Ovis aries: one gene and its partner. The protein of the gene in region 1 purifies or fractionates together with the protein of each later gene. This does not show direct contact. Links are inferred from orthologs where the notes say so. Each region holds a gene or a part of one and is shown on either strand. Other genes may lie near its edges.

The links. Proteins that work in one complex are often made in the same cells at the same time.
Region 2: the proteins of ABCA1 (region 1) and NR1H2 purify together in Homo sapiens (affinity purification with western blotting; 3 studies listed by BioGRID and IntAct, with this or other methods). This does not show direct contact. The link is inferred for Ovis aries from reciprocal best matches to the Homo sapiens genes ABCA1 and NR1H2.

The regions. Positions count from the first base shown.
Region 1 is NC_056055.1:18,188,260-18,193,860, reverse strand, and holds part of ABCA1 (phospholipid-transporting ATPase ABCA1), read right to left. Parts: coding exon 5,499-5,601; intron 3,909-5,498; coding exon 3,686-3,908; intron 2,053-3,685; coding exon 1,831-2,052; intron 771-1,830; coding exon 566-770; intron 1-565. UniProt on the Homo sapiens protein: Catalyzes the translocation of specific phospholipids from the cytoplasmic to the extracellular/lumenal leaflet of membrane coupled to the hydrolysis of ATP.
Region 2 is NC_056067.1:56,279,787-56,285,981, reverse strand, and holds the end of NR1H2 (oxysterols receptor LXR-beta), read right to left. Parts: intron 6,126-6,195; coding exon 5,848-6,125; intron 5,663-5,847; coding exon 5,483-5,662; intron 4,814-5,482; coding exon 4,714-4,813; intron 2,444-4,713; coding exon 2,235-2,443; intron 1,993-2,234; coding exon 1,846-1,992; 3' UTR 1,425-1,845; downstream 1-1,424. UniProt on the Homo sapiens protein: Nuclear receptor that exhibits a ligand-dependent transcriptional activation activity. Binds preferentially to double-stranded oligonucleotide direct repeats having the consensus half-site sequence 5'-AGGTCA-3' and 4-nt spacing (DR-4).

The DNA of each region.
Region 1 (5,601 bases):
GCACAGGCAAGGGCTTAGCGCCAATATGTATCTTGTTATTCACAAGCTGTACTCAGGAAACAGAACTTCTGCTGGTGGTAACTTGGGGGATACAGAATTCTAGGCCTGGTTCAGCTTCGAAGAACTCTCCTGGGCAAGCTGACTCAGTGTAACTCACTTGGGTTCACCTCCCAGCACCTACTCTTACCAGTTATGAGGCCACAGGTAAGTTATTTACCTTCTTTGCATCATACTTCTCTCATTTGCAAAAACTGGCTAGAACAGTAGCTCCCTCACAGCAGTCTTATGAGTATTAAATTGAACCAAAGCATCATTTATAAGACATGTGCAGGTGCCTGGCACACAGTGCTCAAGAAATGAGAGTTAGGTCAATAGTAAAAGCTGTACTTTTAGCATCAGTAGCTTCTTCTTAGAGATAATTTGTTTGCCATAGGTCTAAAGCCCTAACCACTTTCCAAGGAGACCTGAGCCCTGCAGAAATTCCAGCACAAAGAGAGGAAAATGACTCGGTTAGAAATTTCTTTTTCCTGGATGAAGACAAAAGCAGTGTGGAAGTCCAGTGTACCTGGAAACACAGCCTCGATGTACCACGTCATCACTCCATAGAGAAAGGTGTCAAACAGCATCATGGACACAGAGGTGGTAAGGTTGAAGCCATCTTCCTTTGTGGGGCTCTCAAAGAGGTTGTCCCACTGTACCCCAATGCCCTGCTCCTCGAAAAGGGCAAAGTACTCACAGCCGAACCCAAAAGCCACAGGAGACATCAGGCTCTGTGCAAAAGAGGCAAAATTCATTCATCCATCTCCTTGTCTCTCATTTTCCTATCACTACTAATGTAAATGCCACCTGGAGAAATGTGAATTTGCAAAATGGATCAATTACAAGATATGGAAATATTCATCTACAGAGTCCCTTCAGGGGAGTGGGCTCCTTGACAGCATATAAAGTGATTCTATTTATAAGCACTCATTATGCACACACATTTCAGAAATGCATATATGATGGCATATAAAACTTTTAGAATTTTATGCTTCTAAAGATGCCTCAGGGGCTCAGCAACTGTACCTTATACACACACACACACACATACACACAGAGGCATTTTTCAGGGTCCTCTCAAGCTCCCAGCTCAGTCAGCAACGGGCCCAGTGTCACAGGAACCTGTCTGGGGCTGCTGATGCCTAATGGGTCTGGACAGAAACACTTGGAGCATCTTATAGAAAACTCAGAAAACAACTCGTTATTACTGGGACTTGCATACTTTCAAAGGTCTCTCCTCCTCTGTACAAGGGAAGGGAGTAAAGTCAGGGATTTGTGGGGAGATGGGGCACCTGTTCCTCAGTCTTGAAGTTTAGAAAACGTTACTCAAGTTAAACTCCATACTGGACACAAGGAAGATAAAGGTCCAGAACGAGCCAGCTCTGACCTCAAGAATTTTCAGTTTTATCTGTGACTGGGACTTTGTGGTGAGCTTAACACAGCAGCAGTAACATGGCCAACCAGAGCTGAGAGACAAAAGGCAGATAAAAGGGAATGCTCTAAAGTCATTCCCCAGGGCCATTTACCCCCAGATGGCCCATGGTGCAGCCTGGCTCCCTCAAAATTATCATTCGATTCAATTCAATCAGTGTTCACTCAGAGGACTAAAGATAAACTACTGAGTAAGACACAGTCCCTGCCTTCAAGAAGCATACAATCTAGAATTGAGGCTTAAGTCCCCATGGAAAGAGAATCTCTTATCTTCTGTTCTCAGCTTGGACTACAAAGCAGAGGTGAAACACCAGGGGTGGCTGTGACTGCAGGTACTGCCAAAGGGCCAGAGCAACTCACCATGAAGATCTTGAGGGTAAAGCCCACGTAGTCTTGCCACGCCACGCACAGGACATAGGGCAGGTATAGCATGAAGTAAATGATGCCCCCACAGGCGGCCGCCAGGTTGGCTCTGGAGAAGAGCGTGCTGATCAGGAAGCACTGCAGGATGGTCACCATGGCAAACACAGACAGAAAGACAAACACCACGCTGGGGTCGCTGTAGGGCAGCAGGTTTCCTAACTGGGAAGAAAGAGATCAAGGAAGACTCTCAATAAGCAATGATCCATGGGAAGCAGCCAGGGCTTATTCCTAGACATCTTAAAAGACAATATAGAGAAACAGTGCTGTTCATTTTTCTGGTGAGTGAAATGAAGGGAAATGACCAGCCCAAGACCACACAGCCAAAGAACAGCAGAATCAGAAACAGAACAAAGTCCAGGCTTGATATTTACCAAGGTTCATCTCAACAGACAATTCTGTTCATTGTTTCCCCAAGAATAATATCACCTTTTATAAGGACTATGAGCATCAAGAAAGAATTGCAGGAGATAGCATCCTACGTGGCCTCTCTGTCTGAAAGCCAAGGAAAATGGCCAGGCCATCTTAACATCCCCCGTGAGAATGTGCCATGGATTCTGGAGCCACATAACCATCCAAACTCTGTGGACCTGTCAAGTTTCTCCCAAGTAGTTGGTTCTGTTTCACAAGGACCTACCAACACACAATTGGCAGAGCAGCTCACACCCACCAGCCACAAGACCCCCATCCCAGCCACAGAGCTCAGGCCTGCCAGTCAGATATCAAAGCATGAGGGGAGCTTGATTTCCCCAAGAACAGCTCTGCCATACTGCTGGGTGACCTCAGTGAAGTCCTTAACCTTCCTTGGCCTCGTTTCCTTGTATGTTAAATGGGTTACTTAGTGAGGACGTCATAAGACAGCATACGCATGTGTTTCAAATAGTGTTCGGCAATCAGTACGTGCTCACTTGTAATGATTAGTAGCTAGTTTTTCAATTAATTGTTAGTTCCTTTTCCTTGGTACCCCTCTGCTTTTAAAAACATTTATTTTTAAAAGATGTATTCTTTAATGAAACAATTGAGAAAAAATTGGCACGTGAGTCTATTAAAGTAAGGGGTGGACACAGAACTTCACTGTACAGAGTCCCCTTCATGGAAAGGCTTGCGGACTGGCTGTCAGTGGACAGCCTCAGGCGGCAACTGATCTGGGTTTGTCCCAGCTGCAGAAAGCTGCCCAGCCCTGGGGCACATCTTTCCAGTTACTAATTGAGGGGCCTGGGACAATGGATTGTCAGAGAGGGAGGCCTCGGGGTAACCTAAAGGGCTGGACATTTCAACTCCATGGCCAGAGTGCCCAGGGGCTTAGCCATGTGCCACAGTTCAACTCCTGTCTGTGCTCAATCCTGCATCCTCTCTGTTCCTTGTTATAGGTATAGATCCCTAAGAAATAAACATACACCAAACTTTATCTCAGCCTCTGCTTCCAGAAAATCTTAACCTACAACAGTATCTATCCTTCTGATTATGGTTTTTAGAAATTTTGGCAGAATCATCAACCAATACATGCACCTAGGAAAATGAGTAACTCTCAGATACTGTCACAAGCCATTGCCAAACAGATGGCATGGTGTGGTTAAGCACATGCTCTAGGTTCAGTCCAGCTTAGCTACTAACCAACTGGGTTGACACTGGGCAAGTTGCTGTCCTTCTCAGGGTCTCTCCAAGTTTCATCAATTATAAAATGAAGGAATTGCAGGAACTGCACCTCTGACTCTATCCCTCCCAAACAATCTGTGCTTTCCTTCTGCCCCGTAGCCAGGGGGGGCACAGGGAGGAGCCAGTGAAGCAGCCTTACTTTCAGGATGACCACCAGTAGGCCGGCGCTCACAAGCAGAGGGATGAGGCTGCTGATGAACCAGCTGAACCAGAGGATACCGTTGTCCAGGCCCATGATGCGCATGGTCTCCTTCAGCCGCGCCTCCTTCTCGTACACAATGCCCTTGATGATCACAGCCACTGAGTAGATCCAGGCCAGCGTCATGAAGAGAGGCATGGACCGGCTCATGACCCGCAGGAAGCTGGAAGGGTAGGGGAGGGTTAAAGGCAAGAGTGAGCCAGGCTCCTGAGCCAACAACTCTGGTCCTGCATGCAAGGGAAATCACCAGGACCAAGCCCGAGATGGGCAGACCTGTGCACCCTGACAGGAATGCTTCATGAGCGTGGCAATGCAGTGATTAAAAACTATTAACAAGGTGATGCCAAAGTTCTTTGAGGGCTTGCTTTAGTAGCTAGATAACTATCAGAGGTCATTAAGCTAAATGTGATTTTAAAGTACTAAAACAAAACCAACAAAACCAAAAATCCAACTCATTGTCTCATGAAAGTTCAGTGTCTTCAAGGTCATCTCACTATCAGCTTGCCTTGCACAACTGTTATGACAGATGGTGCAGAAACACACTTCAGGCAGCTCCTGTCAGTAACATTTCAGATTTCAGATTCCAAACTAGAAAACGAAATGCAGCGAAGTCAAAGGGACACAGAATCTAGACTCTAAGACTCAAGGTTCAAGTCTCAGCTTTACAACTTATGCACTTACAGGGTATGTGACAGCAGGCATGTCCCCATCTTAATATGTCCTTTCTAGAGTAAAGCTTTGCTTAGGGGTGTCTTTGGAAAAATTTTCCTTTGGAAAATACTGGCTAATCTTTCTGAAGGTGAAAAACAAGATAAATCCAGGTGACCTGGAAAAACTAGAATGAACCCTGCAAGTAAAAGGGTGGCTCAATAAGAAGCTGGGAGAGATACAAGGAGAGTAACCCTGCTACTTCTGCAGTCTAATCACTACACACACACACACACACACACACACACACACACACACACACTCACTCACTCACTCACTCACTCTCACCCTCACACAACAGAGAATGAAAGAGTTTCCAGAATTTGGAAGAGACATGACATACTTCAGATGCCTGCAATAACTACACCTCTGCCCCATTCTTGCTCTCTCACAAGAAATCACGAGCCATAGAGCCACAGTCCCCACTTGGCAGCACAGTGACTAAGCACTAAAAGGTTACCTAGAAAGTCTAAGATAAAATGGACTTGTTCAGTTTTATTTGCATTGTTTGAAAATGTGGCTTACCACTTACTGAGAAGAAGAAGAAAAACTGATGTGAGGCTAGCTTTCCAAGGTCCGTAACACCGTGCCTCTGTATTTGGGGGACATGTGGATGTGTGGATGTATTTGGCATGTGCTCGTCATGATGCCTTTTAAACTTGGAGATTGGGCCAATTTTGACCAAAAGGATAGGGTATGAAAAATAAAAGTTCTAGTAACCGTAGACCAGAAAGGAGTGAGGATTACCGGTGTGTGGTGTGTGTTCATGTGTGTCTGTGCCTCAAACTGTCAACTACCTACATCTGGCATCTTATTTCCTGAAATCTCCACACAACTTCAAAAACAACTGCTTTGCAGTAGCCATAGTCTTGTTTTCATCAATTCTTTGACCAGTGTCAACACACATATAAAATAAATTTAACCAAAGCATTCTGTTTCCTCTCTTGGCATGTGTGTATGTGTGCACGTGTGTGTGTGTGCACACACCCCACCTGGGGACAGTGCTAACCAGTTAAGTAAAGGCGGCAGCTTACTGGTAACTTACATGTCATCAACATAACAGGGGTAAGGCATCTGCTGCATGTACACGCCAGTTTTCTTCTCTGTGCCCGTCAGCACCCTGATGATTGCCTGCTCCACCACATCCT
Region 2 (6,195 bases), on another chromosome or scaffold:
TCCACCCCTGTTGTCCCTCCCGCCACTGGTAACCACTAGTTTGTTCAGTCTGTCAATCAGCTTCTTTTCTGTTATAGTCACTAGTTAGTTGTATTTAGATTCCGTTTGTAAATGATGCACAGTATATGTCTTTCTCTGTCTTATTTCACTTAGCATAATGCCCTCCATAGAGAAGGAAATGGCAACCCACTCTAGTATTCTTGCCTGGAGAATCCTGTGGACAGATGAGCCTGGTGGGCTGCTGTCCATGGGGTCATACAGTCGGACACGACTGAAGCGACTTAGCATGCCTGCATGCATTGGAGAAGGAGATGGCAACCCACTCGAGTATTCTTGCCTGGAGAATCCCAGGGACGGAGGAGCCTGGTGGGCTGCTGTCTATGGGGTCGCCCAGAGTCGTATACGACTGAAGTGACTTAGCAGCAGCAGCAGCAATGCCCTTCAAGTCCAACCATGTTGCTGCAGATAGCAAAAATTTCACTTTCATGACTGAATAGTATCCCATTCTGTATGTACGTATGACGCCTTCTTCATCTGTAGATGAACACTTAGGTCACTTCCATTATCTTGGCAATTGTAAATAATATTGCTACGAATATTGAGGTGTGTGTATCCTTTCAAATTTAGTGTTTGGGGTTTTTTCAGTATATATCCAGGAGTGGGATTGCTGAGTCCTGTGACAGAGTTCTAGTTTAGCTTTTTTTTTGACCCCAACGAATGGCATGTGTAATCTTAGTTCCGCAGCCAGGCACTGAACCTAGGCCCCCAGGGTCCTAACCACTGGACTGCCAAGGAATTCCTCTAGTTTTCGTGTTTTGAGAAACCGCCATACTGTTTTCCACGGTGGCTGCAGAGACTTTATCGTGTTCACAGATGTTTCCAGTGCCTAAGAATGTATTTGGCACATAGTAAATGCTCCATGGGGCTTCCCTGGTGGCTCAGATGGTAAAGAATCCGCCTGCAATGCGGGAGACCTGGGTTCGATCCCTGGGTTAGGAAGATCCCCTGGAGGAGGGCATGGCAACCCACTCCAGTATTGCTGCCTGGAGAATCCCCACGGACAGAGGAGCCTGGTGGGCTACAGTCCATGAGGTCAGAGTCGGACACGAGTTAGCGACTAACCACAGCACAGCACAAATGCTCCATACGCATCTGTCAAATGAAAAACACCTGTGTCCTGAGACTGGCCGACAAAGCAGCCTCAGCCAATACTTGCTGATTGAACGAAAGCTCCATGCCCTCCTCCACTTAAATCCTCCCTGACCTTCAGGAGCAGGCTCCAACCACCAGATGACCCTGAGGCCCCCAAAGCGCCTAGTCTTATCACCCTGAACCCACCCTAGTCCAACACCAGGTCTGGGGGTTTGGTGTCCATGAAGACCCTGGCAGCCCATTCCCACCTCAGACTCATCCTGAATCAGAGCAAGTTTCTAGTCATACTTTATTTTCCTGTTTTTTTTTTTTTTTTTTTAGTTTTTATTAAATAAAAGGAGCAGAGCAGGGAGCCTGTCTGTGGTCTCTCAGGCTGTGGGAGAGCCACAGGCCCTCCTGCCTCTGTTCAAGGTGCACTGCATGGTAGGCTTGAGGTGTAAGCTGGGCGGGGAGGGCAGCTGGGAGTGCTGGGAGAGGTCAGAGCTCAGGACCCGTGACCCCCTCCAGCCCTCCCAGGAAGACTCAGTGGGCAGGCAGGGAGGCTCCTGGACGCCGACTGGGGCTCATCCTGAGGGCTGGCGGGGGGCCAAGGCTTTAGCTCCGAGCCGCAGGGCGGGAGCCCAGACCCAGCCCGGTCCCTTCCCACCCCAGTGTGCAGTCATTGGGGATGTGCAGGGCAGTGGGGTGGGCCCTTCATTCGTGGACGTCCCAGATCTCAGACAGCAAAGGTGGCAGCTTCTTGTCCTGAAGCCGCAGGGCGAAGACCTGCTCCGAGTGCACGGAGCTGAGCGTGCGCAGGCTCACAAGCTTCATCAGCATGCGGGGGAAGCGCAGCTGGTCCTGCAAGGAGACAGGAGTGGGTGGGTGCCAGGCGGCCCACCCGGAGGACCCCCACCCTGGAGAGGCAGTGTGGGGGCCCCTGGGCAAGGACTTGCCTGACTCCTTAATGATGGGACAGGGGCCTTGAGGACAGGCTGCTGAGAGGACACTGATCAGAACTCAGCTGCTGGGGTGAGCCAGGGACGTAGGAAGCTGACCCTACACAGGTCTAGGTTTCCTTGGGAGGGTCCGGGCTCCGGTACCTGTGGCCTCTTGATGCGTGTGTAAGACAACAGCGCGTCCACGTAGGGCTGCTGCAGGGCCTCGACCCGGCTGGGCTCCTGCACGTTGGGCCGGTCGGCTGAGAAGATGTTGATGGCGATGAGCAGGGCGTACTCCGCGTCATCCAGGCCCAGACGCCTCATGGCCCGTGAGAACTCGAAGATGGGGTTGATGAATTCCACCTGCAGGCCTGTGGAGACAGGAGACTGGCTCTGATAAACACTCTGACCTAAAACTGGCCCCCATGCCTGGCCACTGGCATTGCCCTGCCACTGGCATTGCCCACTGTCAGCAGAGCGAGGGAACCAGCAGCAAGTAGAGCGTGCTGGTCACCCTGTAACCCCACTGCCCATCAAGGGCTTGGCACGTCGTGGGTATGCCATATGTCTTGCCTGAATGAAGCAATGAGTAATAAGTGTGAACATTTATTCAGAAGTTTCTACCACCCCGTCACCCTCTTCGCTTCCTTCCTGGTACCTCTCCTCTGGAAAAGGAAAGGTGTTTAATCCCAGGTCACCTTACATCACCCCCTGAGGTGGCATCCCCTGCTCTCACAGTGAAGCGGAACTCATTTCCAGGTGTGACTCATTCATTCATCAAACTTGATTGAGCACCCACTGCGCATCAGGTCCCAGGCAGAGACATTCTAAGACAAAGCCCCCTGCTCTCGTGGCACTTGCATCTGGGGCTTGAAGAGACAGATAATAGACAGGTCTGCAAGTACGCCATCCACCCTGTGAGATGGTTCTAGTTCTATGGATTGAGGTAACGCAAGGGAAGGTAACGGAGAGAATCACGTCCATATTTTAGACATGAGGGTCACCACAAGGTGAGTGTCGGAAGGCCTCCCTAGCTGCAGGGTGTCTGACTAAAGAGGGGAGGGAGGGAGTTACCAGGCTGTGCGAGTGTTCCAGGGAGGGTGCTACCAGTCTGTTTTGCCTGGGACTAGGCTTCCTAGGCCCTGGACTTTGAGTATTAAAGCTCAGGAGACTTGCTTCTTGCAGAGTGGCTAAGAATCCACATGCCAGTGCAGGGGACACAGGTTTCATCCCTGGCCAGGAAGATGCCACATGCTGCAGGGCAACTAAACCCACGCACTGCAACTGAGCCCAACTGCCTAGGGCCCGCACTGGCAACGAGAAGCCCGCGCACAGCAACTAGAGAAAGCTCGCACAAAGCAACGAAGACCCAGCGCAGCCAAAAACAAAAAAATCTTTAAAAAGTAAGAAAAGCTTGGAAGGCCCCAAGCAAACTAGGACGAGATGGTCAACCTAGTTCTGGAAAGAGGGACCAGCAAACAGAAGCTGTGAGGCGACAGCACATTGGTGGGTTCAAATAACAGGGAGGCCAGCGCGGCTGGGGGAGGGGGAGGGGAGGGCGGGAGGAACGAGGCCACACCCTGCAGGGCCTGTGGGCCAGGTGAGGACTCTGGCTTTTCTCCCACCCAGTGTGATGGGAGCCACGGATGGTGCTGAGCACAGGAGGGACGTGAGCTAACGTGGTTGTTAACTGGATCCTTCTGATGACTGTGAACAAACACACCAGGCTGGGGTGGAGGCAGAAGCCCAGCAAGGGGCCCTGCAATGTTCCCAGAAGGACCAACTGAGGCTTGGACTCTGGCAGTGGCGGAGGATGGGGCGGTAGGAGGAACGAACCTCCGCTCCAGCCCCATCTCACTGCGCTGCAGCTGCCGGAACCTCCCTGTCGTTCCTTAAAACCACCCGCTCTTCCCCACCCAAGGACCTCTGCACATGCTGAGGCCCCTGCCAGAAACACTCTCCCAACCCCTAGTGCTCCCCTGCCAAGCTTATACTCAAAGGGTTACTGGGACTGCCCTGGGTATTGGGAGAGCCAGGAAATAAGAGGAAGGAAAGATGGGGTGAGGAGAAGATGTCCAGGAAGACAGAGAAGTGCCCCACGGAGAAATGACAGGAGAAAGCAGGACTCTCTGAGAACGCCCAGAAGCAGAGAGAGAGGCCCTGCACTTGCGTTCCCTGGTAACTAACACTGCTCCCCACCTCCCTTTCCCTCTGGTCCCACTGAGCCATACTCTCTCCAGAAGCCCATCGCCTCGGTTCCCATCCCTAGGGAAGTGCTCTTGGAGGGCAGGGACCGGGTTTGCCCTGTACAGTTGGGGAGGTTATGTATTTCCCAATGGACTGAGATCCAGCCTCCCTCACATGAGACCAGGGCTGGGGAGCAAAGAGTGTCTTTCCTTAATTCCTACGAAGATGTCCTATATGACAGCACATACCCCTCTGTCGCATCCTGCACCATGTCCCCCCTGTGCAGGGTCAGGGCTCAATAATCTCACTGTGGTCTTAGCTCTCACTGTGAGGTGGGAGGGCTCAGCCCTCACCCTAGTCTGGAGGTGAAGAGATGGAAGCTCAGACAAGGATGTGAGGGCCCGGGTCTCCTGGCCAGCAGGGACCCCACTGCCCAGCCTGCGCTTGGCCGTACCCGCGCGGTGGAAGTCATCCTTGCTGTAGGTGAAGTCCTTTAGGAAAGTGATGCACTCAGTCTCGTGGTTGTAGCGTCTGGCCGTCTCCAGCAGCATGATCTGAGGATGGCGGAGGGGATGGGTGGGCAGGGGCTAGAGGAGCCCTGTGGCCCCTCGGCCACTGTCCCTCTGCTGGCCTGAATGGGGGGGCCCGATCTTGCTGGGATCATCCCCTGCCCGTCTCCACCCCACCCCATCATCTCTCAGCCACAGGGCCTGCAGCCAGCACGCTGGACACTCCAAGCTCTCGCCCTTCCCCAGGTTCGGCACCCCCAGCCTTCTCCACTCAGGACACTCCCCCCAAGTGCTTACGAGGCACAGGGCAGAGCTTTCTCTCAGTCTGCTCCATTCACCACCACGCCCTCAGCACTGGGAATAGGACCTGGCATACACTAGACACTCAGCACTTACTCATTACCACAGTTTTGGTTCAAACATCAACTCCCTGAACAAGCCTTGTCAGCATGCTCCCTAAAGTGTGGCCCTCCAGCCCAACCCTCAATTATTCTCCATCTCAGGCCCTGTTTCCCTTCTCTCCTAACCTCACAAGAGGCTCTGATGACTTATTTAGCATTTGAGGTTCTCCTGGAGAATACCACCCCCACCAGGGAAAAGGCCTAGAGTCTGCTTTGTCCCTATCCTCCCGACATCTCTCCTGGGGTTTATCTCGGGACTTCCTCGAGGGCAGGATGGAACGGCCTCCCCGAGGCTGGGCAGGCTGGCTGTTACCTCAATGGTAGAGGCTTTCAGGAGGGCGATCTGGTCTTCGCGACCCAGCTGCAGGAAGCCAGGCACCTGCTTGGCAAAGTCCACGATCTCCTGCACGGAGATGATGGCCAGCTCCGTGAAGTGGGCGAAACGCTGCTGGCGGGCATCACGGGACTGCGGGTCTGCACCCAAGGGCCAGGGCTGGGGACACGGGGGTGGGGGGGCGAGCAGGTTACTCTCAGGACGTCTCCCGCGAGCCCAAGGCTACCCCGTCTCAAAGTGCCTGTTCTCTGGAGCCTCATTCTCTCCCTGTGCCCTGGACTGTGGCCCTGTCGACTTGAGCACACTGGGTGAATTGTCCCTCGAAGCTGTGGAAGGGGCCGTACCGTGACTTTGGGCTGGTCGGAGAAGGAGCGTTTATTGCACTGTAGCTGGGCCGCCACCAACTGCTGGATCATTAGTTCCTGAGCGGCTGTTAACTGGACACCTTCACCTTCTCCTGAGCCCTGGCCACCCCCGTCAGACCCTCCAGGGGAGGCCCCAGGCCCAGAGGCTGGGCTGCTGCTGCTGACTCCCAGCCCCATGGGTGACGACTGCTGCTGCTGCTGCTGCTGCTGCTGCTTCCGAATCTTCTTCTTCCGGATCTGTTCTTTGGAGAGGACGCCTGGTGGGGAGAGACAGGCCTCAGCAGAGGCCCCAGGGCTGGGCAGGGGCTGGCCTGGCCCCACTCCCTC